2 linked regions of the Cricetulus griseus genome follow. The protein of the gene in region 2 purifies or fractionates together with the protein of the main gene of each other region. This does not show direct contact. Links are inferred from orthologs where the notes say so. Each region holds a gene or a part of one and is shown on either strand. Other genes may lie near its edges.

The links.
Region 1: the proteins of Ehmt1 (region 2) and Ctbp1 purify together in Homo sapiens (affinity purification with mass spectrometry; 3 studies listed by BioGRID and IntAct, counting the BioPlex papers as one, with this or other methods). This does not show direct contact. The link is inferred for Cricetulus griseus from reciprocal best matches to the Homo sapiens genes EHMT1 and CTBP1.

Annotation. Positions count from the first base shown.
Region 1 is NW_023276807.1:102,300,867-102,316,679, reverse strand, and holds part of Ctbp1 (C-terminal-binding protein 1), read left to right. Parts: intron 1-1,952; exon of another isoform or gene 1,953-2,138; coding exon of another isoform or gene 2,139-2,145; intron 2,146-4,536; coding exon 4,537-4,691; intron 4,692-6,543; exon of another isoform or gene 6,544-7,622; coding exon of another isoform or gene 7,623-7,694; intron 7,695-9,840; coding exon 9,841-9,985; intron 9,986-10,891; coding exon 10,892-11,098; intron 11,099-15,813. UniProt on the Homo sapiens protein: Corepressor targeting diverse transcription regulators such as GLIS2 or BCL6. Has dehydrogenase activity. Involved in controlling the equilibrium between tubular and stacked structures in the Golgi complex.
Region 2 is NC_048599.1:136,262,361-136,278,786, reverse strand, and holds the start of Ehmt1 (histone-lysine N-methyltransferase EHMT1), read left to right. Parts: upstream 1-7,688; 5' UTR 7,689-7,729; coding exon 7,730-7,750; intron 7,751-16,426. Other genes in the region: Arrdc1 (arrestin domain-containing protein 1), read left to right, coding at 1-67, 165-341, 420-858, 917-990. UniProt on the Homo sapiens protein: Histone methyltransferase that specifically mono- and dimethylates 'Lys-9' of histone H3 (H3K9me1 and H3K9me2, respectively) in euchromatin.

The sequences.
Region 1 (15,813 bases), on a different chromosome or scaffold from region 2:
TTCCCAGATGGCTTTGAAATGGACAGGTGTTCTCAGGTGTCAAGACCTGAGGCATCTGTTGTAACATACACAGGCAGGCAGACACACAAAGTTGACCAACATTACTGAAATTGAGTCTTGGTGGCAAATGCATGCCCTGTATCATAGTTTCCATTCTGTGCCTTCCCTAGTATGTGATCTAAGTCGAAGCTGGCTGGGAACACTCTTGTTTCTCATGGGCACCTTCCCTCCTTGCTGTCCCACTGTCCTGTTGTGTTTTACCCATCCATGCCTTTGGCAGTGCCTGTGCTGGAGGTTCATGTAGTGATGTTTTGCCTACCTTACTCCATGTTGCCCTTCCCAGTCAGCTCTATTGCCAGGCAGCAGGCACTTCCAGCTTCTGCCTCCACCCGACCTGAGTGACCAGGTTCTGTCCCCTGGCTTCCAGAACTGGGTAGGACTAGCTTAAGGACAGCTTTGCCACCAGAGAGGGCTGCTTGGGAGTAGAGCTGGCCTTGTACCCCACAGGGATCTGGGCCTAGAGATAGGAGGAGACCCTCTCTGTTGCTGCAGAATCCCTTCCCAGAGTACCTTTAAAGAGGATGGCGGATGCTGAAGGGTAGGAGGGATCTGGTCCTAGTTGAGAAGTGATGGCTATTCCCAGGAAGAGTTTTTGGTTGATTGTTTGAGACAGAGTCCCTGAGCCCCCTTGGCCCAGATAACTGTTGCTTTTGCTATTGGAGATGATGGTGGCCCATGGCCCATGCAGGGTGCAAACACTCCTTGCCTGAAGTCTGTCAGAGCTTCCAGCATTCTGACTTCAGGTCCTTTCCTTCTGCAGTGGCGCCTTAGCGCCCTCTGCTGGGAAAGTCTATCCTGGCACCTACTGAGGGGAGAATTGGGCCTGTGGCAGGTGCCTGGCACGGGCAGGACTGTGACTCAAGGACATTGTTGCTGCTTTATTGACAGGTTCTTCATTGTCTGTAGTGTTTCTCAAGTCTGGGAATATCCTGGAAGCCAGCACTGGGCACATGTGCTGGGAACTCACAGAGAGAGCATGTGAAAAAGTTTGTGAGCCTTCTGGAAGGAACTGTCCTCAAATACACTGGGTGCTGGGTCCTAAGGCCCCGATCTGCCTTGGATTGGTGGCCACATATGGCCTTTCTGGATGAGCTTCCAGAGCCTGGGTTGACAAGTGGTCTTGTCTCTTGGTTGTGTTGAAGGGTGTCATAGCCAGACTCTATCCTAGCCAGCCTGATGTTCAGCTAAACTGAGGGGTTGGCCCCTGTTAGGAACAGGGACCAGGGCTTTGGCTGCTCAGTGACTGACACACACTTCAGAGGCTGGGTTTTTGTGCTCACCTGTAATAACCTGAGTCTTTGGGCTATTGGCCCTGGCAAAATATGTTTGGATGTCATGGCCTCCATTTTCAGCATAGCCAGGCAGCACTTTCAGGTGAACCAAGTAATTGTTAGCTGTGCAGGGACTGGGAAAGAAGTTGGGTGGAATGCTGGAAAGCTAGCACCTGGCAAGCTTTCCTGATAGCTTTGCTAAAAGATCTATGTTGGGGCATGGTTGGGATAGCCTTAGATGTCAGGAAATGTAAATGTAAAGGAGAGAGTCCCAGGGAAGCTAGTAGACCCCTTTCTGCAGTTTCACAGCCCTGTACCCAATGCTGGCTGCTTTTACCTCCCAATTTGAGAACACTGTGGAGTCTGGGCTGAGCCAGAAGTCTGATGGGGTAGCCAACTACAGAGCTGTTCCTAGGTTCACACAGATGACTTGGGCTTGCCCCAACCTGGGATTATGAACTCAGTGAGTGAGTGTCTTGCTGTCCGGTTGATCTTCCGCAGCTGTGACTGGACAGGGCTAAGGTTGTAGGACACAGCTTCTCTCTCATGGAGCATCCTGGAGTCTGAGCTTTAGCTGGCCTTTGATGGCATTTTAACTTGTCTCTTGTGTTTGATTTTTAGTAAGACTTTGAACCCGACGCAGGCTTCAGTGGCTGCTGTGGAGCAGAAGCCTGAGAGCTTTGGTTGGAGAGAATAAGACGTGGGATGAGGCTCCGTGACAGAACGTGGTTCGGCCTGGGGATTCTGAAGACAAAAAGCTTTGGACAGGCGAATTCATGGTCGTGGAAACCCCGCCCCAATTAAGCAATGTCAGGTTGGTAGGGGTTGCCAAGTGAAGCCATCTCTGTGAGGGAACTACAGGAGGGACTTGGGCTGCACTGCCATAAGCTAGGCAGGCTGACCCATGCCTGAGGAATGTGCTTGGTGTTTGCAGGCTGCCTTGGCCAGTGGCCATCCAGCTACTGCGCTAGGGGTTGGTTTCTGTCAGAAAAAGTGTCCCAAGGGTATGGAGGTGGGTGCTGAGGTCAGGTCTTACCTGAAGGAGCTTGAGGGTCAGTTCTGAGGCTGTGCATGCCCCAATGCAGACCTGAGATCCTTGTTTCTTGTCTTTTCTGTCTTCTGCCTGGGAAAAGTTCTTAAGTAAGCTCAGCCCTGGGCTAGAGCTCCTGCATAGCATGGGTCCAGTTAGTAGATCTGTGTCTCCTGGATGGGTTTGTTTGGGAAGACCCTAGGGCTGGAGCAGCTCTGTGAATGAAGAGGTGGCCAAGCCCACCAGCTTTTAGAGGGCTTGGACTTTGGTCCTCCCATATGAATCTTTGGGTGTCATACCCATCATTTAGATGAAGATACAGGCTCAGACCCCAGCCTAGCCACACCCACATCCATAGGTCCTCTCTGAGGAGTTGTTTATAGGGCGAGAGAGTGGGGTTTCCACCCAGGCTGGGCAGGTCCTTGATGAGGTATAGGCCACTTCCCAGGCAATAGGTTCAGGCTGTGCTCTGAACCTATTGGACTTGCTTTGTAGCCTTAGAGGATTTGTGGACATGGGCATTGCTCACCACATTCTTATAGAATGTGGTGTTCAAGCCAGGGAATGAGAAAAGTAGATGTTTATCAACTCTTTTAAAATAGCAGTAAGTCTGTTACCTTCTATAAAAAGTAATACTTTTATGTGAGAAAAGCCACTTTGCAAGTCCGAGTTGGAGGACAAGTGGATTGTTGTTTTTCCACCTCTGCTGTCTGGTGACAGGGGTAGCTAGGGATGTGATCCATAGGGGTCAAGGAAGGAAGTATGCAAATGCCAAGCCTGTGACCTTGAAGTCTGGACCATCAAGTCTTCGTACCTTTACTTTTACAGTTTATGAAGGACTGGTGTGTCCTTCATATGTGTGTCTTCTCATAGTCACATTGACTCTGGGGAAGGGCTGTGTATAGCAACACCTCTGTTCCACAGCTGGAGTCCTTGTGCTTAGTGTTGTCTATCAGGCAGCTCCATTATGGGTGGTCACTGAGACCTGTGTCACAGTCCAGGTATCCAGTTCCAGACTGGAAGCACTCAGTGATTTTTCACCAGCCCTGTTAAACATAGGTGTGACAATCCAAAGGACATTGCTTTTCTGTGACATGTGTTCTCTGAGGCACTTACTTGGCACTGGCAGCTTGGGGCAGCCTCTGCACCTGGAGGCAAGAAAGGTGACTGTGAACTCTACTGCAGCTGTTGCACGGTTACCTTTGGCCTGCTCAGTGGGAGACTGTGGTGACTTGTTTCTTGCCTTTACCCCCCCCCCCCCACTGTGCCTACTCCATGGTCCATACTCCTGGCTAACTCTTTTGGAGGCCCTGGGGCTGGACAAGGTCCTGCCTGGTGTTGTCTGCTACTGTGGAGCTACCTTTGGTCTCCATGAGGTGTCTGCTGCCCTGCCCAAGGTGGCTATAGTACCTGGGACTACTGTGTTGGCTGTGTACTTGTGAAGCCCTTGGTACTGTACTTGGCCCCATGTGGGGTCTAGTTTTTTAGGGTGTCGTGTTAGGAGCAAGCTGATTTCATATCCATAAAGGCTTTTGTGGAGCTAGGAAACAGACCCAGACCTCACACTCACTGGGCAAGTGCTCTTTGGAGTTGCACTCCAGGCCTAAGGTTCTTTCTCACCTTGGTCTGGGAGGTGGGTTCTGAGAGTGTGGTAGCCCTTTTTTCCTGTCGCAGTTTTTTGGCCCTTGAAATCTACCACTAGGAATGATACCAGGTTGGGTCACATGCTAAAATCACTGTGGTCTCTCTGTGGGGTTCTGGGCAGTTACACAGTGGTTTTTAGGCAGCAAAGAGTGAACAGGCACTTTCCTGAATCATATTCTTTTGTGTCTGCACATTTTTGTGTTGACAAGATAGCTTACAGCTGTAGGATGCCAGGGCTGAGGTGCCTCCTACCTCCTCTGTACCCTTGTCCCCTATATCCCCACTAGGGTCTCCAAAGATTTCAGGTCCTGCGCCCTTGAGGTCTGAGTCCACTCAGTCATCAGTGAAATGTTGCAAACTCCTATTTCCTTCTTCCTGGTTTTAATTTGCTTTCTACAAAGCCTTGTGTAGCCAGAGGCTGAGTGCAGTAAGTTCTCAGGGCTGATTTCCCCAGCCCTAGTGGGTAATACAGTTCTCAGATCATAGACTAGAGCTGCTGAGGGCATTAAGTGGTCTGCTCCTTTCTTGCAGGCGTCCGACCTCCCATCATGAACGGGCCCTTGCACCCCCGGCCCCTGGTGGCGCTGCTGGATGGCCGGGACTGCACAGTGGAGATGCCTATCCTGAAGGATGTGGCCACAGTAGCCTTCTGTGATGCACAGTCCACACAGGAGATCCATGAGAAGGTAGTGTCTTAAGTTGGCCAAGTTTCATGGGGTACAGGGGGGCTCCAGAGCATGGGCCATGCAACCTCAGGCTGCAATCTCAGTCAGCACACAGCACTAGTCATGCTCCTTGGTCTCTGGCAACAGTAGGTCTAAATACCACAAGGTCTTGTATGGCCTGTCACTGTGCCTGGCCTTGTCAGGAGGTAAATATTTCTTACTCTGTATTTTCTTGGTTTCTTACATCACAGCCAGTTATTAGAAGAAGTGGAACTGTGGGCATCTGCCAGTGATTATGCTGGATGCTACCTGGAATATAGCAGGTCACAGTATCTTTACCCACAGTACCTACGGAGAGCTTGTTGTTGGGTGGTTAGCAGCTCTGAGCAGCTTCCGTGATTCATGTTTGCTCAGATCTGTTGGGTTCTTCCATGACCTGGAGTGTGCTCATCTGGTTTCTGGTTGTGTCATAGCCAATTCAGACTTTGCACTGGAGACAGCTTGAAAACATTCTTTACCACAAATCTAAAAAACCTTCAGGAGCTGACAAGGTAGAACCAGTCAGGGATTGCAACCATGAGCGACCTGGCATCTGCTCTTATGGACAGTCTGGTTGGGTAGCCTGGAGATTTGCTCCTCTGGGAGGAGTGGTGAGCTCTGGTCTTGGTGGCATCATGGCCTTGGAGGGTGAGCCTGTTGGCCCATTGCAGATGTTGCCTCAGACCCAGAGAGCAGTGAAACCCGTATCTGAATGTACCTTCACCTAGCCTATTACCCAGCCTTGTAAGTCTGCCAGGCATGGGATTTAGCATATAGTGGACCTATAGCCCTGCTCCCCAGGGGCTGTAGAGTCATCTGGGACAGTCATTCCAGCCTGGCCTCAGTATGTGTCTATAGTCTTTGGGCACTCACTCAGCTATAAGGAGGCAAGGCTCTGTGAGGAGAAGAGAGCTTCTCACCAGCAGGAACCCCAGTTTGACTGTGGGGTGGGCTGCCTTCAGGCAAGAAAGAGACAGTGCTATCTTGGGGTTCATGTAGCAGGTATGGGGGAGCAATACAAGACACAGAGCTGTACTATAGTAAAGCTAAAAGTGAGAATCACTCCTTTGGGCATAGTAAGTAGTAGGGAGGAAGGGATCAGAAGTCCTGATTCTTATGCCTTGTGGTGAGAGTGGGGAATGGGAGGAGCAAGGAGTGGGCAAGGTAATAGAATCCATAACTAAAGAGGGAAGGAACTAGATGCAAAAGCTGGAGACACTGTGGTGGAAGATTTCCCCAGACAATAGGAAACTGTGTTAGTGAAGGGCCTTGAGCCTGTGGCATGGCATGGCATGGCATGGACAGTAGTCAGTGGCACTCTGTATTGATATACAACCTTTCAGCATTCTAGCAGCCTTTGTAGCAGACATGACATGCACTATCATCATCATCTGTATTTGAAGGTATGGCAGCTTGATTCACAGTAGCCCAAATTGGGCAACCACCAGTACCCTTTGGTGATATGGCTGTGAAGATTGTATCCTGCCACAGATCCTGCCTGACTCAGGAAAGGGGTGACCTATAGGCACACAGCACCTTGGGTGTATGTCACCTTCCCCCTTTTTGCTGGCCGGCTGGAAATCTGATATGATGGCTGAAGCCTTGGGTAGGTACCTTGTACTATAAGAGGGAAGCCATATACTGGTAATGGTATAGCTACAAGGCAAGAGTCTAGTACCCAAATAACTATGAAGATGTAACTGAACGTGTGGGACACCTGTCTCTAGATGTGGGAAGTAAGTAACTGTCTTATATATTCTTGTTATGTGGGAATTTCCACCTTTTAGAGCAAGAAGTCCTCACAACTGGCTGAGTGTCACTGTCTACATTGCAGATGAGAATGTTACACTATCAATGAAGAACATGATGAAGAAAACTTCCCAGAGACCTTGGCTCTTCTGCCATGGACCCAGCAGGACTATGAGAGGGGATAGGAGACGCCCACTGGGTGTGGGAAAGTCACCTTGTAGCAGGAATCTCAAAGCACCCCTGGGCTGGGTGCTGTACAACTTCTCAGCCAAATGACCTTCAGCCCAGGGCTACATGGGCCCAGAAGGAATCCAGGGAGACACTGCTCCCAGCATGTGCTGAGTGAGGACTTAGGGCAGCAGGAAGTCCGCACTGGAGATGGGAGAATGATACTTCATGACCCATGGGTGCAGAACGTCCCAGGCCAGAGGAAGTCCCCTTGCAACTATGATGTATGAAAAACAAGTGGTCAGAAGTGTCTCATGTCACCAGCAGGCTGCTAAGGCACTGGCCTTGGGCTCAAGTTGCAGACACATCTGGAACCAGGACAAAGGTTGAGAGGAGAGGTTTCACTGTGAAGGAGTCCATTACCATGGGTCAACAGGTCCCCCTTTCAGAGTGTGCTGAGATTCTGAGACCCATTGTTAATGCCTTGATGGTGCAGAACAGGGGACCAAGGGATGTGTGTGGCCCTCAGGTGTATGGACAAAGTGCTGGTGAACTAAGTTACAGGTTGGAATGGTGTTCTGGTTGGATGGCAACAGTTAGAAGAGCAGGAGGAGGGTGCTTTTCTTACATATCTACACAGAGAAGACTTACACAGCTCTACAAAGGAATCTGTAGGCATGCTCAAATGACAGAGGAAAGTAAAAAGCGGGAAAATTCAGTGAGGTCAAGTGGGCACTGCCCTTTGTGCCCTGGCCCAAGGGTCCCATGTAAGACCTTCAGGCCCTCCCAGTCAGCAGGAAAAGGAAATCCTTACAGAAAGCTGGCCAGAGAAGCACTGCTTATGTAAACCACTTCAGCAAGCCCCTCTTTGGCACCTTGAAAACTCACAATTCACCACCAGGTGGCCAGGTAAACACTGGCCCAGCAGAAAGCCTGGATGCCGCTTCCTCTGTGGAGAACAGCTGCAAAGTCCCCCCGTGATTCTGAAGTTGGATAATGTGCAGAGGCTTCAGCCAGCATCTGCTCTGCTTGTATTTGACTGTCAGCAGAAAAGTATCAGGCATGATGGTGAGGTGGGAAGGGCTATAGTTTCACATGATAGCTGTTCCTATGCACACCAGGTGACAAAACCATCTAGTGTGGTTTGTATCGTCAGTGTTCTCTCAGAGAGAGGTTGGCACAGTGTTGTCCTGACAGGGAAACCTCACTGTGGTTTGGGGTGTGAGCCCCATTCAGAACTTGCTGCCACTGGGGACACTCATGGCCTATTACCAGCCAAGGGTAGCTGACATGCATTAGTCACTCATCGTATGCTATACCTGCTATGAACATCTGGGACCCATTTCTGTCCTTCCCATTCTGGTATTGAGGACACCAAGTGCACTAGGGCCAAATCATTAACATGATCATACGGTTGGTGTATGGGGACATGTGAGAGCTTGCTTGCAGAGGGTATTCTTGGTGGCCTATCATAAGGGGACAGGCCTAGTGGCACCTACCTTCAGCAGACTTCCTTGGAAATACTAAAGGGAATATAGGAGAGGTACAGGGGGTGTGGATCTGTGGCCAACAAACAAACAAACAAACAAAGACACCATGAAAAAAATTCATGGAGAAATATGGATGGGCAGGTTTTACCCAGGAAGGCAAATTCAAGCACCAGTAGTAGATGAACAGTAGACTGTGTTTTAGATATAGAAAGCTCAGTGGTGATATTAGAAAGTCAGTGGACAGTTAGACAACAGGGTCTAGAGCCTCAGAGGACCCTCCATTTCTAGGAAATTATCTCAAGGAAATAAACACACTGGCTTTTCTCATGGAAGAGTGATAGTCAGTGCAGTGGAAGGTCCAGATGCTTTGATGTCACCCTTCCCTGCTGGAACATTTGCAGGACATCGAAAACATGTTTTTGAAAGACATTACTCTCATGGCTAAGTGCTAAGGATAAGAAGTAAGCTGGCTGTCCACATATACACATATTGACATTCATCATAGACCTCCAGGGTATGGATCTGTCCTGTCCACAGCCAACCCTTTTCAAACACAGTGAGGGACCCGTGTCAGGTGTCAAATCTGTCCCTAACTATAGACTTATTCCAGTACTGCCCCAAGATCTGCATTTTTGGTCTGTACTGCTGTACCTGCCATGGGCCTCAGCCTCACCTGTCCTATGGAGCTGTCCAGGTCCTTCCTGTGCTCGTGATTGCCCATCTGAAGTCCATGTGGCACAAAGCTGTCAAGGACTTCCCTAAATCTCCCCTTATTTCCTGTGCTGTCTCAGCTGCCCATTCTCTATTTACTCTTTCCCACATGGGCTCTCCGTGACTCTCCACTGTCAAATGGGTACCTACTTTTCCACACAGGTCTAAGTAGTATATGTGGTCCTGATCCCCTCGAAGCCAAGGGCAGCCATCAGTTCTGGCCCTGAGCTTAAGTACCCTAGGGGCCACTCACTCCAGCATTTCAGAGGTCCTCATTTCAGCCTCTTAGCGTCTTCCCTCAGTGCCTGGCTTTTTCTTCCTCATGTAGTAGTCTAGATGGCCCCTAGACCCAAAATGAGTGGAAAGGCTACTATCTCCACCCTTGTGGGTCTTCATGACTGGTGAAGGCCATTCTCCCTCAGTGACAGTTGTCTACATTCTGAGTCATGCACCTGGCTATTGAGGTTGTGTAGCTGTAGCAAAGGGATACTGCACCAGCCTTTCCACATGGAGCAGCCTCCACCCCAGAACAATACCCTAGCTCTACAGCCAACCAGATCAGCAGGAAGTACAAGTATATAAGAGGATAGATAGCAGAGTTGTCTTGTTGCAGGGTGTGGTGCTCTCTTAGAGGCTGGCCCTGCCAACTCCCAGTTGACAAGTGCCTCTGGATATGCTTGTTCACTTGGGTCCTCTTTGTACTTTTCCACAGAGACTAGTGTGTACTGGGCCCCATTGTTTTGGGCATGGAGTCTGGTTGCTTGCAGGTGCTGCTGCTAGTTCTTGCCCTTGGACACTACCCACACCCTCTCTGCTGAGGCTCTACTGGTAGCATGCTGCTCTGTCTGAGACAGTTGAGAGAACACAGCTGCCTCTCCATTGTGTTTTAATATCTTCCATTGTGTTCCCTATGCCTCTCCTGCCTCTCTTTTCGAGGCAGGCCACTCAGAATTTTTGGGTACCTTTGGTGGGTCCTGGAAGCTTAGTAAGCAGCCTGTTTTCCCTCCATGCAGGTACTGAATGAGGCTGTGGGTGCTCTGATGTACCACACCATCACACTGACCAGAGAAGATCTGGAGAAGTTCAAAGCTCTCAGAATCATCGTCCGAATTGGCAGCGGGTTTGACAACATTGACATCAAGTCAGCTGGGGATCTAGGTAGGAGCTCTGAAGTCCCTGTTTCCATTGACCAAGATGTCTCACTTAACCTTCAGGCTCTATTAGACAATCAGTAGAGCTGGGACTGCTCCTTGAATGGAAAGGTGATTTGGGCCTATGGGTAGGGCAGGTTGTGCCAGGCAGCACAGGATGTGGGTACAGCTTCACTCATTGTGTTGTCACCAACCTACCAGGCCCTAGGGTTTGGTTGAGACAAGGGGCCAGTCGGGGAGATCATTGCCCTCCTCCTAAGATAACAGCAAAGGGAATGTGTGCTAAAGCCATGCATACATACACATGAAGCAACAAGTGCTCAGACTGTACACACATGAGCACAAATCTGTACCTGTGCATGTATTTATATTGAAACAGCATAGTCATACTTTACCATTCTAGGGTAGCCTGTTTTCTGTGCTAGTAGCCTGCTGACAAAGCCAGGCTACACTCTACAGTGTATGTTGTTGACGTCATTCTGCTACTCTGCTCCTTAAGGCTACAGAGAGAGGCTAGAGCTGACCTGTCTGGGAACCACAGGGCAGCTGAGCACTTCAGTAGTGTGTTGGGAAAGTCAGTCTTGTTCTGTTGGTTCATGCTGCCCTGGCAAGCCACAGGGGCCAAAGCCTTGGTGGCTGACCTGTCCCTCCCTGGGCAAGGCCCTACCATTTGGAATGATCAAGGCAGCATTTGCCTGTCCTCTGTCCTGTTTGCTTGTTAGCTGCCACATCTGTGTTCTGCAAGGCTGTGGGTACAGGCTTAAGTATGCCTAATGACATGTAGTCTCCTAGGTGGCTGTGGGACGTGTCCTCTGACATATTACTACTGTAGCACCACCCTGAGGGTAGGACCTCTGACTGTGGATGACAGGAGGCTATGGACCTGGTACATGTGTCGCCACATATCTTGTAGGCATCGCAGTATGCAATGTGCCCGCAGCATCTGTGGAAGAGACGGCAGACTCCACCCTGTGCCACATCCTGAACCTATACCGACGAACCACCTGGCTGCATCAGGCACTTCGGGAAGGCACTCGGGTCCAGAGTGTAGAGCAGATCCGAGAGGTGGCTTCAGGAGCTGCCAGGATCCGTGGAGAGACCTTGGGCATCATTGGACTAGGTACGTTGGCCACTGTGACTCAGCACAGATAGCCTGTGCCCATCTGCTACCCTTCCACTCCATAAAGCTGAGGCCATGGACTTGCTGGTTGTGTTGCTGTCCCCAGCTCAGCATAAGATATAGGATAAGTAGTCCAGGGGCAGGGCCAGAGACACCAGGCTATGTGTCTTACAGATGCCATCAATGGAGGTCACGTAAGAGTACAAATGAACATCATACATGGATGGTAACATGCATCACATGGGGATTAAACAGACATGGTGTACACATGGACACACTTAGATATATGCACAGTCTATACAAATGTTGTTGCATACACACTCACTCCCCACAGCTCTGGTGCAGTTGAGTGGGCATGACCTCGAGGCCCGTTTCTACCTTGCTTAGGTTATCATTGGTTCCTATGCTCCCTGGCTTGTTCTCACAGCCATCACCTTTTTGTGGGTACCCATCTGTTATGCGTACCATAGAGATGGCACAGTAAATTGTGCTAGAGTTCACCTTTGAGGGCTCCCTTGTTACCAGGCAGCCTACCCTTTGCTGACCCTGGCTGCATTGTGCTTCTGCCTTAGCCCTGCTGCCAGCAGCAAGAGATGGGAAGTGTGTGTAGGTCACCTTAGTTACAGGAAGAGGTGGGCCTGGGATATGGTTGTTGCTGTACTAGTGGACATGCATAGCAGGGCTGTTTGACCCTCCATGGTTCTGAATGTGCCCTTCCTGTCCAGTGTATAGGACAAGACAGCACCTCCTACCTCAGGGTCCTAGTGCCAAGACGTGTTGAAGGATGGAAGAAAGATAAGCATGGGTGGAATAAGGCATAAAGGGTATTGCTGGGCAGGTCTGGGTGGTCAGAGCATCTCCACCCTCAGATCTTGCCCTCGGGCAGTTTGTTTGGTCTCCATCTGCCTCTGCTTTCATCACTAGTGTTTAGGGCCTGAGTCGTGTCCTTTTTGTACCCTCTCTTGCAATGCCAGTTTGTCCAGTATACCATGTAGCTGCCACTACCTATTGGCCTGCTGTTCCTTCTGCTGTGTCAAGCTGTTTACTGTAGCCATCCCAAAGCTCCCTAGGGCTCAGGATACACGGATGGTGACATATATCCAATGTGGATGATGTAGATGACACAGACATGATTATACATGTAAACATACTTGTGTGTGAGTGTACAGTCTATACAAGCAAGGAGGGTGAATTTTGTCCCCTCGGGACACAGCAAGGGCTCCTGAGTTGTCACACCTACCTTGAGGACCCCCTATTCATATGTAATTGCTGTCTACCAACTACAGTACAGGTCTGAGGCTGGTTTCCACACACTCTGGAAGGGAGATGGGCACGTGTCCCAGTGTCCCTGTATCTCCTGCTCTTCTCTTCTGCTACCTGTTGAGGCTGTCTCCTGTGTGGAATATGGTGATTAGTTCTTGGTTCATCAGTGAGGCCACATAGGCAGTGTGGGCTGTAAGTTTTGGTTCTGTAATGGATGTGCCAGCTACTTTCCCTGGCTATTGGACTCTACACCCATAATGCCTGCCTGCCTTCTTTTCCTCTTATAACTGAAACATACTCTGCTTCTTTCATGAGAGTATAGAATGTATTTCTGTCTGAGACAGCCCTGTACTGTTTCCAGCAAGCCCTCTCTGCCTGTGGTCTTTGTGCTCTGTCTGGCACAGCTTGCTAGGTTCATCAGTCCTGGTGAAATGGAACCACAGGGCAGGGACCCTGGGTCTGTGCTCCTTCAACAGACATAAGGTTTCAGGTCTTCTCCACATACCTGTCTTGCTCGGAAGTTCTTCATGTTGAACAGGATTCTATTGATCTGTTTAGCCACTGGACAGATGAAGCTGCTGTAAACAAGTGTAGACATGCCTCTTTGTGACATGTGACACTGTTTTTCTTTAATTTAACCAGAAGTGGAGTGACTTGACAGAGCAGGCAGGAACCACCAAGGCATTCTTCAAGCAGGTGTGTGTCTTTGACACTTCTTAGCTGGGTACCTGCCCTAAGAGTTTGGACTTTGCTGACACTTAATTAATGTCAGCATTAGTGCTGCCCCTTACGTTTTCATCTGCACCTTTCCAATAGCTGAAGTGTCTGAGTGCCTTTCTTGCCGGAATGCCTGGCCCTTAGAGAACTTGTGCCTGTGTTGTGAAGCATGGTGCCTGTTGTGTTCTCTTTGGTTTGTCCTGGTGTGCATCTGCAAGATTCCATCTGTGTTCTGCCTCAGGGTCTCATCAGACAAGCATATTGACACCGTGGTACCCACTTAGTAACTGTGATGAGGACAGATTCTGGTTCTGAAGAAATCCAGCTTATTACTTGTAAGTTGTTACCATTTCTGTTCTAAGTAGTCTCTGCCTTCTCTAGTGCTATGCAGATACTGCTTTCTTCTGGAAGCTTCATAGTTTTGATTTTTACAGGTCTCAGACCACCTGGAATCATACGCCTTACCCAGTGCTATGAGTGTATTATTCCAGAAATGTAGGCAAACATGTTTGTGTCTTTCCACAGTAACAATAAATTCACAGGGCTCAGTGGTTGTAGTGGCAGCAATTTGTTAGATAATTTTGCCTCCCCAGTAATCTGGCCAAGGTGAATGCAGGATTTATTGTTTGTTTGTTTTTTGAGACAGGATTTCTTTGTGTAACAGTCCTGGAAATTGTTTTGTAGACCAGGCTGGTCTTGAACTCACAGAGATCCACCTGCTTCTGCCTCCTTAGTGCTGGGATTAAAGGCATGAGGCACAACTGCCCAGCTTGTTACTCCTAACGACTTAATTTTAATTGGACCCATTCAGACTTAGAAATAAAAGCTCCCAGCAAGGACATCCTTCGTCTCTTGGCAGTCTGTTCCTTATGGTGATATATTGTTAATGATCTAATAAAGTCACTGGAGATCAGAATGCAGAGCCAGCCACACTGCTTAGCTATAGAAACTGGGCAGTGGTGGCACACAACTTTAATCCCAGGACTCAGGAGACAGAGACAGATGAATCTCTCTGAGGTCAAGGCCACCCAGGGTTACAGTAGAGTAAATCAGTCTAAAAGATTAACAGAGCTCACGCCTTTAATCCCAGCACTAGAAAGTATATAAGGAGCTCAGTGCAGTCTCAGAGAGCAGTCTAGGATTCTGAGGTTTGGTGTAGAGCAGTGCAGTCTGGAGATGTAGTCTGAGGTTCAGTGGATCACCCCTTTGGTCTGAGCATTGGTAGTGGCTTTCTAGTGGCTGACTGCTTTGCTTCTCTGATCTTCAGCTTGAACCCCAATATCTCTGGGCTTTTATTATTCATGTTACAAATTAGCACCCAACGTGGGGCTTGAACCCACAATCCTGAGATTAAAGAGTCTCATGCTCTACTGACTGAGCTAGCCAGGCTTCAGAGGCTTTGGAGGGAAATGCACAGGATTGCCCCCTCAGTCTGAGCTAGAGGTAAGAACTGTGGCTGGCTGTTTATCTGATCTTCAGCTTGAGCCCCAATATTGGTCTGTGCGTTTTTATTATTCATACTACAGTTCCTGGTGTTTTCTTTGGCTTCTTTCATTCTTTTGGCCAAAAGTTTCACATATTCTGCAGCCTCCTCATTTTTTTTAGAGCTTTGTTTCTTTAGAGCTGTGTGTTGGTGTTTGTGTTGCAGAACACATGGAGTAACAAGATGCTGAATCTTGGGGGCTGGTTATGGTCCTGGGCTGCTTATCTTCTTTGTTTCTTTGCTCTCTGAAAGTATATTGACAGATGTCTTAGTTACTTTTCTATTGCTGTGACCAAGGCAAATTATAAAATAAAGTATTTAATTTGGAGGCTCATGGTTCTAGAAAGTTGAGTCCATGACCATCATGGTGGGGAGCATGGTAACAGGCAGGCAGGCAGGCATAGTGCTGGAAAAGTAGCCGAGAGCTTACATCTGATCCACAGTCACAAGGCAGAGAGAGAGAGAGAGTAATTCTGAGTATGATGTAGCTGGGAGTGGTGTGGGGTTTTGAAACCTCAAAACCCACCCTCAGTGACACACTTTCTCCAACAAGGCCGCAAACAGTTCTACAAACTGGGGACCAAGCATTCAAATATATGAGCCTATGGGAGCCACTCTCATTCAAACCACCACAGCAGACATCATTTTACTTAGATTGAAAAGTTTTAGATTTTGCTAGCTCTTTTGGTCCCTAACTACCACGTTGTACCTGTCAGTCTGGAAATAGCCTCCCTCCCTCCCTTCTTCCCTCCTTCCCTTCCTCCCTCCCCCTCTCTCTTTCTCTTTAAACAATAGCCCAATTGAGAACACTTAGATTAGCATCCACAATGCAAAGTTGATCAAAATTGTGTTTCCTCTCTCCAGTTCTCTTTGGTCTATAACAAGAATGCCTTTACTTAATAGAAGACACACTTTGCTGTGGGTCAGAAGACCTTGCTTTGTGGAAAAACCTTGTTTGTCATTCATTTCTTTCTTTCTTTCTTTCTTTTTTTTTTTGGTAGTGGTTTTTCAAGACAGTGTTTCTTTGTGTAACAGCCCTAGATGTACAGGAACTTGCTCTGTAGTCCAGGTTGGTCTTGAACTCACAGATGTCTGCCTACCTCTGCCTCCAAATGCTGGTATTAAAGGCATACACCACCACACCAGGCCATGTCATTCATTTCTGATAGCTCCACTTTAGAATTAGCTCATCAGTTTGTGTTTTGCTTAGTCCTTGTATTGTAGGAACACTGGTCTCTGAAAATCACACATA
Region 2 (16,426 bases):
ACTGCAGGCTGACATTGAGAACCAGTCAGGCAAGGACACTAGCCCTGTGGTGGCCAGCTTGCTCCAGGTCAGAGCCCTCTGGCTTCCTAAGCCTGTCCCTTTCCCATGGGGCAGAAGGGGTGGGTTGCTGGTCTGCCCAAGCCCACAGTCTGGTCTTTCCTTAGAAGGTATCCTATAAGGCCAAGCGCTGGATCTATGATGTGCGAACCATTGCAGAGGTGGAAGGTACAGGTGTCAAGGCCTGGAGGCGTGCTCAGTGGCAAGAACAGATCCTGGTGCCTGCCCTTCCCCAGTCAGCCCTGCCTGGCTGCAGCCTTATCCACATCGACTATTACCTACAGGTTTGGTGTTGCCCAGGGCTGGGTGGCCTGAGGCTAGGTGACCTTGGCCTGACTCCTCAATACCTGCATTCTTTCCAGGTCTCCCTGAAGGCACCTGAAGCCACCGTGACTCTCCCACTCTTTGTTGGCAATATTGCTGTGAACCAAACCCCACTGAGCCCCTGTCCAGGCCCAGGGTCTTCTCCTGGGGCCTTGTCCTCAGTTGTGCCCTCTGCACCACCCCAGGAAGAGGCTGAGGCAGTGGCTAGTGGCCCCCACGTCTCAGACCCAGTTTCCCTGTCTACCAAGAGCCATTCTCAGCAGCAGCCACTGTCAGCTACTATGGGTTCTATGTCTGTTGCCACCATTGATCCCTGTGTTCAGGTTGGAAGCCCTGCTCGACATTCTCTGCACCCTCCCTTGTGCATCTCTATAGGTGCCACTGTCCCCTACTTTGCAGAAGGCTCCGGGGGCCCAGTACCCACCACCAGCGCCTTGATTCTTCCCCCAGAGTACAGTTCATGGGGCTACCCCTATGGTGAGTGGGAATGACAGGGGCTGGGGGAGGAAGTGAGGGTGCCTTGAACCCCTTGTAGATCCTGCTTTCTCTCCACAGAGGCTCCACCATCTTATGAGCAGAGCTGTAGTGCCAGTACAGACCCTGGCCTGATCCCAGGGAGCTGACCCTGGTGAGCTAACCCTTGCCACCTTCTTCGGTGGACCTGGCCTTTGCCCTGGGACAAGATGCCCAGGGCCTCGTGCCTTTGCTCTCTACCTGGCCCAGCTACTCAGGACCTGCAGCCGATGGGACGACCCCTTGTGGACCAGCCTCTCCTGGCTCCTCTGGAATTAATCAGTCCTCTTCTCGAGAGGATGGGGTAGGGCGGCAGGGATCTGGGACCTGGAGAGACTATAAATAAAGCGCTTTATTTGTAGAGCTGGGCAAGTGGCTGGTCTTCACATCCTAAGCCTAGCCTCAAAGTGGACACTCTGTACAGACTCCGATCCTGAAGAATACAAGCCCTTAAGCTCCTCCTTTGACCTCACCTCTGAAAGACACCCTCCCACACACACCAGAGCTCCTTCCTTCACCATACCCTTCAGGAGGCAACCTGCCTGCCCAATCCTACCTCAGACTCTACTTCAAGCGTATTTATTCCTCACCTCATTGGCACCCCACCTCTATATTCCCTGAGAATGTGACCCCGATAGAGCCGTGCTAGCCACTCCTTTCCACGTTTAAGTTTTAATTTCCCCACTGTCTGTTTAAGGATATTCCTGGTGTTCTTGGGAACACTCTGGCTTGCATTCCAAACCATTGTTCTAGATGGTGTGCTTGGAGGCCTGGCCACCAGAAATATTCATGGACTTGTTAGGAACTTGCTTGCAGTAGAACTCTACTCTTGGGCATGAGGTCACTGTCAGCTCTGAGCATTGTTGTACACACAAGACCTTGAAGCTATGAACTTGGTCCCTAGAGCAAGAATGAAAGACAAAGGCTCCTTGGAGCAGCATTTCAGAGGCACCCTATAGTTGCCTTCATACTCCTTAACATCTCTGGTAACAAGCACTGGTCTGTTGTCCTTTACATGTAATGTTTGCACTGGAAGTGGTTACTGTGGAGTTGGTTAAGTTTCAGTTCTGATGGGAGAGAGCGGCTTTGTTAGGCATGGTGGCCACCTTTCCAGTGTAACCAACAACAAGCTCACAGACTTTCGGGAAACAAGGTGTACTAGAACGCAGGATACTGGCAGTGCTCAGCCAGTATCCCCAAATTTCACATCACTTAACCAACTAGGTCTGCACCCCAATGTCTTTAGGAACATGTTATTGTCTACTCCTTGCAACATGGTCTTTCACTGGGCAGCCACATACCTGGCTAACATTTGATACTGTGGGACAGGTAGGTCTTGGAGAAAGGCAGAAAGTAGGCCACAGATCTCTTAAACACCTTCTGGAAGCGGTGTGGCCTACAGTTGAAAGAAGAGCTTGCGTTTGAATCCCACCTTGTCTCAGGCTGGGGGCATACACTCAACTCCCTTACTTTGGTTCACTCACTTTGAAAATGGGAATGGGAAGCAGGCTTGTCCCTCAGACATACCCCACCTGCCTAGAGCAGGAGCCACTAGATAGGTAGTCAATGGTCACTAAGTTGTAGTGTGATTATGGCTAACTGCAAATTGGGTGTGGAAGGGTCTGTAGCCTTCTAACAGGTCAGTCACATCTTATTTGTCTGGTAAAAGGTTTACTCCTATGTTTCAACCTCTTCAATATTTGTTTTGTTGTTGTTGGTTTTCTTGTTTTATTTGCTGGAGGGTATTGTTGTGAGCACTATGACACACAAAACAGTGGTCATACACCGTATGTCATGTAAGAGTATAGGGAGCCTGGCAAGGTGGTGAGCATCTTTAATTATAGCACTTGGGGGCAGAGGTAGATAGATCTCTGTGAGTTTGCGGCCAGCTTGGTCTACATGATGAGACTCTAACAAAACAAAAGGTAACACCCAAAATAAATAAGAGATAACATGGAGGGGAGAGGCTGCAGAGAAAAATACATCCAGAATAAAAGATGAGAAGTGAGGAGAGCAGGTAAGGCTTTTCTGAGGCAGCTATATTTAAGGCACAAAGGCTAGGAAAGAAGCAAGCTATGCTGCAGTTATCTGAAACAAAGGTCTTGGGGAAAAGGTGAGATGGAGAGGTGGATTGGGGAAGACGGCTCTGTTTGGGCCATGGTTACAGAGGACTGTGCATGACTGTTTCCCATGACCTCCACAAGGGCTCCGTTCATCATAAATAGCCTTAACTCAGCTGTCCTAAAGAATCCTCGGTACTCACTGGGTACTGTCCATTTTCTCCTCTGTATGTGTATGAACACAGTGGTCAACTTAGCAGAACCATTTTTCAGTCTGTGATACTGAGTCTAGGCTGGTTGTCAAAACTCAAGACTTCATTATTTTTTGCCGATGAAACCTCACTTTTGCTTCTTTTTTGACGTCTCAGATGGGAAAGACAGAATTGTTTATGGAGATGAGGTGGCCTAAGATAGTTCGTGTGGCACTAGGTTTTTAGTCTAGTAATGATTATTTGGCCCCGTACACAGGAAGCTTGTGTCTAGCAGAACTTTGGGTAACCAGGGTGAGCACACTTCCTAACTGATGCACAGGTCCCAGCCAGACATACCCTCCTAACCAGAGCATCCATTTGTCTCCTGATTGCTGGGGGTGGGGAGTGGAGGGCTTGCCATCTGGTGCATTCCTCCATGTTGGAATAGCCCCCTCTTGTGGGAGCAGACGTCCTATTCAGGAAGTTACTTCCCTTCAGTTGGAGCATCCTCCCAACATGGCAATCTCCCCTGTGTACCCTCTCAAACTTGTAGAAACATCTTTCTGAAGCAGAATATTTCCTACAAAGTTAGGACATGCCCTTAACTAGAATTCCTTCTCGAAACTGGGACATTCCTCCTAACTGGGGACACTTTCCGTCCAGGACTTTTCTTCAAGATAGAGTGCCATCCTTTACCAGCACTCCACCTCATAAGCAGAGAAACCCTTCCTGAGGTTCCTTGTTGAGGTGTCTTCCAGGATACAGCTCAGAATGTCTGGTTTCTGGAAAAATCAAGGAAATAAAAACGTGTCTGTGATAGGAGGTTAAGACTCAGCCTTTGCTGATGATTGTGGCAGTATGCCTTTAGTCCCATCACTCAGGAGGCAGAGGCAGAGAGAGCTCTGAGTTTATGAGGCCACCTGATCTACAGAGGGAGTTCCAGAACACCCAGGGCTAAATAGAAAAACCCTGTCTTGAAAAACAAAAGACTCAAAGGCTCCTCTGATTAGCCTAAATTGTTCTTCTAATTTAGAAGATACAGTAGCATCTCCTTAGCTGCAAAGACTCCCCTGTGGATGCCCCAATCTGCACATAGCATGGTGTTCTGTATATATTTTATTGTTATTTATACATATGATAAAGTTTATAAACATGACATAAAAAGAATTTAGTAACACTACTAACAGTAGATCAATTCTGAGACTACTGTAACAAAGTTTCATGAATGCAGTCTGATTTCAAATCATCTTACTGTTGTGTGCTCACCCTTTTATGGTGATCTGAGGTGATACAATGACTGTATGAAGAGTTGAAGTGAGATAAATGGTGTAGGCATTACAACACAGGTTACTAGTTGATTGGCAATATGTCAGGAAAATCAGTTGGTGAGTCATAACATCTAAGATTTGACGATGATATAAATGGCTAAGGATTCTCAATAACAGAAGAATCCCCTCCCCCCTTCTTTTTAAAACAAACATTGCAACTGGAAGTCTTCTGTCTTTACTTTTTTTGTTTGTTTGTTTGTGTTTTTGTTTTTCGAGACAGGGTTTCTCTGTGGCTTTGGAGGCTGTCCTGGAACTAGCTCTTGTAGACCAGGCTGGTCTTGAACCGCCTGCCTCTGCCTCTCCAGTGCTGGGATTAAAGGCATGTGCCACCAAAATTCTTTACTTTTTAATTCATCAAAGTGTTGTAGCAGAAAATCATCTTTAAGGACTGGAGAGAAGACTCAGAGATTAAGAGCACTGGCTGTTCTTTCAGAGATCCTGAGTTCAATTCCCAGCAACCACATGGTGACTTATAAACATCCTATAAGGAGATCTGGAGCCCTCTTTTGGCCTGCAGTCATACATGCAAAAAGAAAATTGCCTTTTAGTTACTGTACAGGTAAAATTTTAACTTTATAAAATTTTTTTTATCCAGGCTAGGTGTAGTGGACCATACCTGTAATCCTACTCTTCAGGAAGCAGAGGTAGGAGAAACACTGGAAGCTTGAGGCCATCCATGCTATGCAGTGAGACCTCGCTTCAAGAATAAAACAAGCTAGTTGTGTGGCGCTTGCCAGTAGGATTTGTTGAAGGAGGCAGAAGCAGGAGTTTGAGGACAGCTTGGGCTACACTATACATTAGGAGCTGGAGAGATGGCTCACTGGTTAAGAGCATTGGCTGCTCTTCCCGAGGATATGGGTTCAGTTCCCAGCACTCACATGGCAGCTCACAACTGTCTGTAACTCCACTTCAGGGGACCTGACACCCTCACCCAAACACAAATGCAGGTAAAACATCAATGCACATAAAAATAAATCCTAAAAAAGAAGAAAACAAAGGCTGGAGAGACGGCTTAGTGGTTAAGAACACTGAATGCTCTTCCAGAGGACCCTGGTTCAATTCCTAACACATGGCAGCTCACACCTGTCCATAACTCCAGTTTCAGGGGATCCTACAACTCTCAAACACACACACACACACACACACACACACACACACACACACACACACACGCAGGCAAAACACCAATGCACATAAAAATAAAAATCATTTAACAAAGTCATACTATTAAAAAATAATAAAACTGGCCAAGTGGTGGTGGAGCACACCTTTAGTGCCAGCACTCGGGAGGCAGAGGCAACTGGATCTCTGTGAGTCCGAGACCAACCTGGTCTACAAGAGCTAGTTCCAGGACAGCCTCTAAGCCACAGAGAAACCCTGTCTTGAAAAACCAAATTAAAATAAATAAATAAATAAAACAAACCTTTAATTCCAGCACTCCAGAGGCAGAGGCAGGTGGATCTCTGTGAGTTTGAGGTTAGCCTGGTCTACAGCGTGAGTTACAGGACAGCCAGGGTTATTACTCTTTCTCAAGAAACTCTCAAGAAACCAACCAAATAAATAAGACAAACAAAAACCCCAAATAATACACATTTAAATCAGCCTCTAGTGGTGAGGCCTGTCATCTCAGGAACAAGGGAGGCTGAGTTAGAAGGAGAGCAGGTTCAAAGATTGATTAGACTCAGGGCTAGCCTGGGCAACCTAGATCCTGTCTCACAGGAAAGAAAAGAAAAAGAAAAGCTTTGGGATTGTAGTTCAGTGATCAAATGCTTGCCTAGCAGGTGAAGTCTTGGAATTAAATAAGTCTTGGACTTATACCATTTGTCTTTCTTTTAGGAATCAAGTTCTTTGCATGTAGCACAGGGTTCTAGTGCTGGGATTAGAGGTGTGTGCCTCCATGTTTGGCTGTGCTGGTGACTTTACTACTGTGTTCCATCTTAGGAACACACACTATAATTTTACCCTTAATTAATCTTTGAAGTTTGAAATATTTCAGCCAACTTTTACTCGTGTATCCATTTTTGCCTCTGCTGCAGTTTATCTTCCTTAGATGGCTTAAATTCTCTAGCACTTTCACCTTAATCCCCTTTTTCCAAGTCTGCTTGAGATGTGGTAGCACATTCAAATGTAGAAACAACCTTTCCACTATATAGAAATTCTCTATTCTCTCCACATATAATATTAATAATATATGTACATATTTATTTACTCTCTAGTCCAGACCCATCTCTGAATCTGTATAGCCATCTCTCATTTGCAATAAAATGGCTTGGTGTCTCCTCTTTATTTTAGGTTCCCCCTTTCAGAAGTTTTCATATAGCCTCAGCACTTTTTCTGGCATAATATATGTTCCTCACTGGAATACATATTTCATATAGATACGTACAGATACACATGAATTTACATATTCTTTTGAGACAGGGTGTTTCTGTGTCATGAAGCTCGCTTTGTAGACTAGGCTGACCTCGAACTTAACAGAAATCCGCCTGCTTCTGCCTCCAGAGAGCTGAGATTAAAGGCGTGTACCACCACGCCCATGTCTCTTTATCTGCAAATCTAACTCCTTTTCCATATTAGCGCCTATGCCCTGTGGCTTTAACTTTTGTTAAACAGAACTAGCACAGTTTCTTTCACAGTTTCATGGAAGGTGAGTTCTTATCGTTGTTGTTATTTTGGCTACCTTAGCGTTAAGACTCTTACGGAAATCTCCTGCCTTTTCACTTAAAGGAAGCGCTTTATGCTTCTGTAGCATTTTGGAAAGGTGACATCTATTAAATAGAATAAGGGCTGTCGGGACCTAAGTTAAAAGTCAGTGTGGAAACCCAGCTGGCTAGTGACAGTCAACAAGCCAGTCACGTGTTGACGCGCGCGGGACAAAATCGACAACCTTGCAGAACCAAGCTGTCTCAAGAATGACGCCTAACCGGAAACCTAGGACTAGCTTATTTCTAGAACTTTCTAAGTAATACTTTTGGACCGCAGGTAAATGGAAGGGAGCGAAACCTAGGAAACGGGAAACGGAAACCTCGGTGAAGAAGTCTCAGCGCCAGGAGCCCAGGTTGAATTTCAGCGCGCAGGCGCCACCTGGCCTCTCCTCCAGACGCAGGCGCCGCACGGCCGGGTCTGGGTGCGCAGCCGCGGGTGCTCACGCAGGCGCACGACTGGCCGGCCAGCCCCGCCCCGGTCCTAGGCCGCGAGGCGCGGGCGGGGGCGATGGCGCGCGGGAGGGGCGGGGCCACGCTGCGGGGCCCGGGCCATGGCCGCCGCGGATGCTGAGGTGAGGCGCGGGGCCGGCGTTCGGCGCCGGGGCGCGGGCCGCGATCATGATGGCAACAGCGGAGGCGAGAGGGCAGGAACCCGGGCGTGCTGCGATCTGGGTGGGGCCGCGCGCCTCCGCCGTCTCGGGCTAGGCAGCGCCGAGGCCCCAGCGTCCGGCCCGCGCTCCGCCGGCGCGCTTTGTGCGCGGCGGGCCCGAGCAGCGGCGGCGGCGGCGGCGGCGGCGGCTGCGGCGGCAGCAGCGCGGGGGCGATAGGAGGCCGTGGCCCCGCATCCCGCAGCCGCGAGCTTGACTGCGGGCGGGTCGGAGCGGGGGTGGCGGAGACAAAAGGCAAAGTCGAGCGGGCCAACTTGTGCGTGGGGAGCTGAGGCCGGCCTGCGCCTGCTGCCCCGCGCCGTGACCTTTCACTCGCCGCCGAGAGCGTGGCACCATCTTTAAGGAAAAGTTGGTTAGTCCCGCTCGTCTCCCGCGCACAAAGCCGCAGCAGCAGGGTGACCACGGGCAGCACGCTCGACAGAGGAATGTCTGCGGACCCAAGTTTATTTCTTCACCGATGGCATTAAAGCGGCGGGGGACGGCGAGTTAGCGTTCTTTTGTTCGCGTGGTGGCCTTCCCTCTGCTCTTTCTGCGGGATAGTTTGCTTCCTGGTTTTTTTGTGGCGTAAACGTTATGCCCCGGCGAGAGGGACCGCTGTCTTCCCCAAGCTGAGAGGCCGGCAAGGAGTCGGGGTCCGCAGAATGCACTAGTGTTGTGTTCTCAGGGCCGAAGTACGCGGCCGGTTTGGAAGAAAGTGTAAACATAACAGTTTTCTTCCGAAATTAGCCGCGGGAACAGTTAGCTTTTGGGACTTGCAGACCTCAGAAAGTGAAGGTGTGGTGAGAAGCTGGCACATGTGTGGTGCGGTGCATAGGCTCAGCAGTACATTTTACCCCAGATAATGTATGGTCATTGAATTTCTTTTCTCTTGCCTTTTTGAGTGGTATTCATATAAGTGAACGGCGAGTTTTCAGTTCTAATGCAAGGAGGATTTGTTGAGTACTTAACAACGTTCAAGAACTGACAGGCACCAGGAACACAAGTGTGTAAGAGATGACCCTAAGTCATTTCCAGGCTTGTAAGGAAGGAATGATTCTCATCTTTTATTGAGCACTTGATGTGTCCCAGGCATTGTTTAAGCCCATCAGAGAAGTTACCTCATTCATTTTTTTTAATGACCTGTGCAGCGGGTACTGTTATTTCCTATTAGCAGATGAGGAAAATAAGACCTTGCAGGGGTAAGTAACTTTGCCTGGTCAATTGTAGGCCTGGCCATTTTTCTTCCTTTTTACACAATAATTTATGTGTATATGACTGTTCTTTTTGCATGCGTGCCTGCATGACAGAGGAGGGCATCAGAAACCATTACAGATGCTTGTGTGCCAGTATGCTGGGAATTGAACTCAGGACCTCTGAAGAGCCGCCGGTTCTCCTAACTGCTGAACCGTCTTTCCAGCCCCATTTTTCAATATCAGGCACATAATTGGTGTTACTAATTGATGGAGGAAACTGAGTGGTAGTGCATACTTGTTATCTTAGCACTTGGGAGACTGAGGCATGAGGATTGCATGTTCAAAGCTAGCCTGAGCTATAAACCTCCCATCCCCCAAGGTGGAAGTGTCAGTGGCCTCCAGTTATCTCTGATTTCACAGGCAGCTTACATAGAGTGTGTGTTTGTTGAGCCTGTACCTCGTCCCAGCCCCACTGTAGGACTCCTGTGCATTATGTGGCATATAAAAATGACAGTGATTTCATTTTACCAAGTAGGTTCTCTGGTATCCTTTTTGCAGACGAAGCCACAGGCACTTAGCCCCAGGATTACAGAGGGTGTGCTTTAGTTGAAGATAACAGATCTGTGACTACAGAGCCCATGTTCGATAGCTATGTGTTACACCTGTCTTTGGATTTATGATTTTAAGTGTTTATCATGGAGGCACATGGTAGGGTGAGGGACACTTGTCTTTTATCCTGTTGGTCCTGTGGAATAGGGTAGGTTTGGGCTCATCCTCACTGAATTTTTAAATATTTACTGGTTAGGGTTCATTAATTGTGGGATGATTAACCCATCAGCACTGACACTTGGAACTTAGATCTAACTGTGTGTTTGTGTACTACTGAGGTCTTGGAGAGGTTTATTAATATATCCCCTATTCTCCATTTTTAATATTAATGTGGGCTCCTGCACTTTTTGGGTTTAAAATGTATGTCCTGATAACAGAATCAGAGTGTGATACATAGGGTTTTGTCTTAGCAAAAACATTATCTTGCAGCAGGAGCAAATTCCCAAACAAAATCTGTACTTAGCAGAGTGGCTAATATGTATCTTATTATTAAGATTAAAAAATTATTTAATTTTATGTGTATGGAGTTTTTACTTTCATTTATGTTCACATGTCTGGTACCTGTGGAGGCAGTGCAGCCCCTGAAACTGGAGTTAGGGTGGTTGTGAACCCATCAAGTAGATGCTGGGAGTTGAACCCTGGTCTTCTGGAACAGCAACAAGTGCTCTGACTGTGGGGTCATCTCTCCAGTCCCAGTGTTACCTTTTTTTTTTTTTTTTTTTTTTTGAGACTGAGCCTTGATGTGACTAGCTTGGAACTCATGACAGTGTATTGGTATATTATTTACCATGCCTACCTGTATCTCTATCTCCTTTTTTTTTTTTTGGAGACAGGGTCTCTTCATGTATATGAGGCGGACCTCTGACTTGCTATGCTCCTAATATTGACCTTGAACTTCTGATCCTCCTTGGGTCACAGGTGTATATTACCATATCTAGCTTTGTTGTTCCTTCAGTCTTAAGTTTTAATTTAAGACATGCATACCTGTGATTTTAGCACATGGAGGCTGAAGATCATAAATTAGGTTAGCCTGGGATACTTTGTTAGACTTTGTCTCAAAAAAAAAAAAAAAAAAACCCAAAAAACAAAACAGCCAGGTGTGGTGGGGTGTGCCTTTAGTCCTAGCACTGGGGAGGGTAGGCAAATTTCTGAGTTCAAGGCCTTCCTGGTCTATAGAGGGAGTTCCAGAACTGTGAGTTCTACAGAAAAAAATCCCAAACACTAACACCCCCCAAAACAATTTTTTTTGTTGTTGTTTTTTAGAGTAGTATATGCATGTATAATTTTAAAAGTCAGGGCTAAGAGACATTATTGGAAACTTTGGTTTTCTACAAAGGCAGTAGCAATTTTTAGTTCTTTAGTGTTTACTTCATGTTTCTGAATGCTGTTGTTATGTCTTTACTCAACCAGCTATAGGGGATTATCTGTGTATTGCCAGTAACAGAAGATGAGGAATTTAATTCTTTCAGTCTGTGGTCACCTGCTAGTTAGAATGGACATTATCTTGAACTGGTGTGCAGCATTGTCTTTGGAGTTTAGCCTACCTTCCTTGCTCTTGAGAGTGCTCTGCTTTATTCTGGTAGCTGCTTAAGTAAATGATGATGGGGCTGAGGATGTCGATGAATTGATAGGGTGCTGGGCTAGATTAAACTGGGTGTGGTAGTGAATTCCTGTAATGTCAGTGGTAGGTAGGTAGAGGCAGGAAGAGTAGAAGCTTTAGGTCATCCTCAGTAATGTAGCAAGTTCACGACAAGTGTGGGTTCCAGGGGATGCTGTCTCAAGAAAAAAAGGGTCAATGGCTATGAACCTTGTAGAACTTTACTACTGTCACTCTTGAAGAATATGTTTGGGTAAGCATGAATTCCTGCTTGGAAGTCGGTTATGAAGGATTTGGTGTGTGTGTGGGGCATGGTATGGTGCCAGGGATTATTTGTTTTTATTTATTTTTTTCCTCTGAGACATGGTTTCTTTGAGTAACAGCCCTGGCTGTGCTGGAACTCTCTTTGTAGATCAGGATGTCCTTGAACTCAGAGATCCACCTGCCTCTGCCTCCCAAGTGCTGGGATTAAAGGTGTGCACTACCATTGCTTGGTAAAGAATTGACATTAGGTTTTTGTGGGTTTCTTTTTATTTATTTATTTTTTTTGATTTTTCCAGACAGGATTTCTTTGTGTAGCCTTGGCTATTCTGGAACTTGCTGTGTAGAGCAGGCTGGCCTTGAACTCAGCGATTTGCCTACCTCTGCCTCCTAAGCACCAGTATCAAAGGTGTGGGCCACCACCACCCAGGTACCTAGGACTTAAATGTATGTTCAGGATTAGTGAGGACTTGAGACCTCTATGGTTCACAAACCTTTTGTCTTAACAAAATGTCACGAATGCTAAAGCAAGAACTCTACCACTGAGCTGTTGGTACCAAAGGTGCTTGTCATCATTCTTGGCTCCAGTGTTTTTTTTTACTAAAAACAGTTTTTTGTTTTGTTCAAGACAGGGTTTCTCTGTAACAGGCCTGGCTATCCTAGTTTGTAGACTAGGCTAGCCTTGAATTCACAGAGATCTGCCTGCCTCTGTCTTCTGAGGGCTGGGATTAAAGGCGTATGCCACCACCGCCTGGCCTGTTTTTTTTTTTTTTTTTTTTTTTTTTTTAGAGTAACCTTACTTGCCGGTAGTAGTGCATGCCTTTAATCCAGCAGTTGGCAGAGGCAAACGGGTCTCTGTAAGTTCGAGGCCAGCCTGGTCTTCAGATCGAGTGCCAGGATAGGCTCCAAAGCTACACAGAGAAACCCTGTCTTGAAAAACCAAAAAAAAAAAAAAAAAAAAAAAAAGGTAACCTTACTCTATGTAGACCTAGTTGTCCTTGAACTCACAGAAATCCACCTGGCTCTTGCTTCCTGAGTGTTGGGATTCAAGGATGAGCTACCACACCTGGTTTGTTCTGTTAAAAGATTTACAGAGAGGGGGAGAAAGAGGGGGAGAGAGGGGAGGGGAGGGAGGGAGAGGTGTGTTTGTGAACTCAATATCTGGTCTTTGCATTCAAATGCAAGTCTCTGGAAGGTCTGAAGAGGGCATCAGATCTGGAGCTGGAGCTACAGGCAGTTAGTTGATTGTGAGCTGCCTAGTGTGGGTGCTGGGACCCAAACTCAGGTCCTTTGCAGGAGCAGCAAGTGCTCTTAACCTTTGAGCTATCTCCCCAGCACCTGTTTTTTTCTCATGTGTTAATATCTCTTTCTTTCCTTCTTTGTTTTTTGTTGTTTTGTTTGTTTCATCGTTATTTATTTATTTATTGTTTTTGAAGACAGGGTTTCCTTTGCGTAGGCTTGGTTGTCTTGAAACTTGTTCTCTAGACCAGATCTGCCTGCGAGTTACTGGGATTAAAGGCGTGCGCCACCAATGCCTTTAATATTTCTTTTTGCTTTAACACAGTTGTGTTTCTCCCTTACATATGTAACAGTATGTAAGAGCACAAATGCAGGGCTTTAAACTGATTATAATTTATGTTTTATCTTTCCTAATAATGCTATTATGAATGTCCTTAATTTTTTTTATTTTACATTTATTTATGTGTGGATGCATGTGTGAGTGTGTGAGAGATCAGAGAACAATTTGCTAAACATGGTTCTTCTACCTTGTGGGTTCTGGCTATCAAACTCGTTTATCAGTCTTGGTGGTAAAGTGCTTTTACCTGCTGAACTACCTCACTAGCCCTGTAGTGAACATTCTTGTACCTTCTTTTTTTTTTAAGATTTTATTTATTTATTTATTTATTTATTTATTTATTATGTATACAACATTCTGCTTCCATGTGTATCTGCACACCAGAAGAGGGTACCAGATCTCATAACTGATGGTTGTGAGCCACCATGTGGTTGCTGGGAATTGAACTCAGGACCTCTGGAAGAACAGCCAGTGATCTTAACCTCTGAGCCATCTCTCCAGCCCCCTTCTTATACCTTCTTATATGTACAATTGTGTGTTTTTTTTTTTTTTTTCCAGAGTTGATAAAGTTGAATGTATTTTAAGTCAAGCCAATTTCAGCTGCTTGGGAGGATGATGGAGGAGGATTGTAAAGTTGATCTTTTTTTTTTTTTTTTTTTTTTTTAGAGAAGGTTTCTCTGTGTAGCCTTAGCTGTCCTGGAATTCACTATGTAGACCAGGCTAGCCTCAAACTCAAGAGATCCACCTGAGCACATGTAGTCTTTTTTTGGCTTTCCTTATTTCCAGTGGAATAGTTCATTCCTACCCCTTTTTATGCTTGCCTGTCCTCAAGTGTGGTGTGTTTTTGGAAGTTTTTAAAAAGTATTTTTTAATTTTGCTATGCTGTACTTGGGTATAGGTCAAGAAGAACTTTCGGGATGCTTTGGGAATTTAACTCAGGTTGTCAGTCTTGGCAGCAAGCATCTGTACATAGTGAGCTATCCTGCAAGCTTTGTTCCTGGAGCATTCTGTAGGGTCCAACTTCTAGTCTCCGGTGACTCTAGAATGTGATTTGCTTGTTTGTATTCCACTTTGACTATCACTGTTCTCTGTACCTTTCTCTGTCTGTCTGCATCAGTCAGTTTGCTTATTACTAATCATCCCCTTATTTAAATTTCTCCTTTTCTGTGTCATGTAGTGAGTTAGCTTTACTTTAACTCCCTATTCAAGTTTTTGTCAGGTTTTTACATGTCTCCTAGATAGACATGTCAGGTTTTATTTTTTTCCTGTTTTTTTTTTTGTTTGTTTTTGATAAGAGGAGGTGGAAGGTCAGAAGCATTTATTTTAAATGTGAATTTTTTTCTTTTTCTTTTTGAGACATATCTTCCCATGTAGCCCTGACTTTCCTGGAACTTGTATAGAACAAGGCAAGCTGCTTCTGCCCCCAAGTGCTTGGATTAAAGTCACTGTGTGACTGGTTATAACTATAAATCTTGTTAGTGGATTCTCATCTGAATAGTTACTGTGTACAGGGCTGCTTCTCTGGGTGGAGGAGAGATGGAGAGGAGAGAGAGAGACAGAGAGACCGAGATTGATTGTATACTTTGTGATTGGAGTGCATATTGGCTTAACAGACCAGCAGAAATAATGCTTCATTCAGCCCTGACATCATAGGACATCTTTAGGTAGTTTAGTTGAGCTAGAGTGGAGGCTAGCACACTAGTTTCCTGCTTCTGCCTCTGTCACAATAATTTGTTTGGCCATATTTTATGGAGTTTGTCTTTGCTTTAAAATAATTTAGCTTGTAAGTCATATTGAGGATTTTTTTTTTGTTGTTGTTGTTAGTGCTGATGTTGAGACAGTTTTATTGTATAGCCCTGCCTAGCATAGACCTTGCTATTCAGAACAATTTATCCTTAAATATGTAGTAATCCTTCTGCCTCTACCTCCTGAGTGCTGGGGTTACAGGCATGTACACTACACCCGACTTTTGGTTTTTTTGAGACAGTGTTTCTCTGTGACTTTGGAGGCTGTCCTGGAACTAGCTCTAGTAGACCAGGCAGGTCTCGAACTCTCACAAGTGCTGGGATTAAAGGCGTGTGCCACCACCGCCCGGCTACACCTGACTTTTTGTTGTATTGCATTACATTTTTGTGAGACAGGGTATTGTTAAATTCCTTTCCACGAGTGAAGGGGACGATGCTGGTATTCAGGCAGGGAAGCAAACTATGAAGAGGTAAGAATAAAAACTCAGGTCAGATTGACTTCGTCAACCTGGATCAGACTTTGGGAGTCTTCCAGATGCTTCCTTGTCAGCATATTTAAAATACAGTACAGTTTGGGAAAAAGTTTCCAGGCAACAATCATTCCAATTCTAGGTACACAATAAAGCTTAATGTGTCACTACTTAGAAACTCCATTACAAAGTGCATGTGAGTGGGTGGGTTCTATAGCTAAAGGGACTAGAATCTAGTGGTCTCTAACCTAAATAGCGTAAAAGTCAACAGCCATAAAGTACAGGTGACATCTCCCTTAAGGATGGATCCTATTGACCAAGAAACAAAGCTAAAGGTCTATGGAGGGAGAGACTGGGATAAGCATTCTGAGGTTGTTTCCGGTGAGGTCTGCTATAGAAGCGTGGATCGATCAAGATTCACTGGACTAAGCTCAATATAGGTTAATATAATTTTATTCTGGGAGAAGGCACTTACACAGGAAACAGATGACCACCGCAAGTTCCTGCTCCAAGGATCTACACAGGTTACTCTGTGACCCGAATGGAAGAGAGCCACCTGTGCCCCAACCCCATACCTAAAACCACTCTCCCTCATGACTGCACTTGTGACCACGAGGTTTGGGTGTGAGTGGGGTGGATATCTCACTACAATTCCTCTTGTCTAAAGAAAAAGATTTAGGCTTGATACAAAACTATATACAAAGATAGGAAATACCAGGTGTCTCTAGGAGAAGGAAATGTAAAAACATACACACTTAAGACTATAGCCAGTGAAGCAACATAGAGCAAATGGCAAGAGCTATAGTCTGCCTCTATAACAAAGGGTAAGTGAGGTCTGCCTCCAAGGTGTTAACAATATCCACTCAGCCTTCTGGGTGGAAAATAGGTAGTTTCTCCTTTGAGAAGAGTGCCCTGTGTGTTTAGCATTCCTGGTTCCCTAGTGCTCTGGGCACAAGGACCTTTGTGCCCCCAACACATGAGGAGACATCTTAGCAGTCAACTGAAACATGTTTCTGCCATTGTTCACTCTGGGGAACCTTTGAGTTTATTGGTAAGGGATGACTTAAGGGGTGTGGGTGTTCTTTACACTAACAGGCTATAACAGGAGAGCCTTTACCCAGCAGTGAAGAAGGCTTTTGAATGGTTGTTT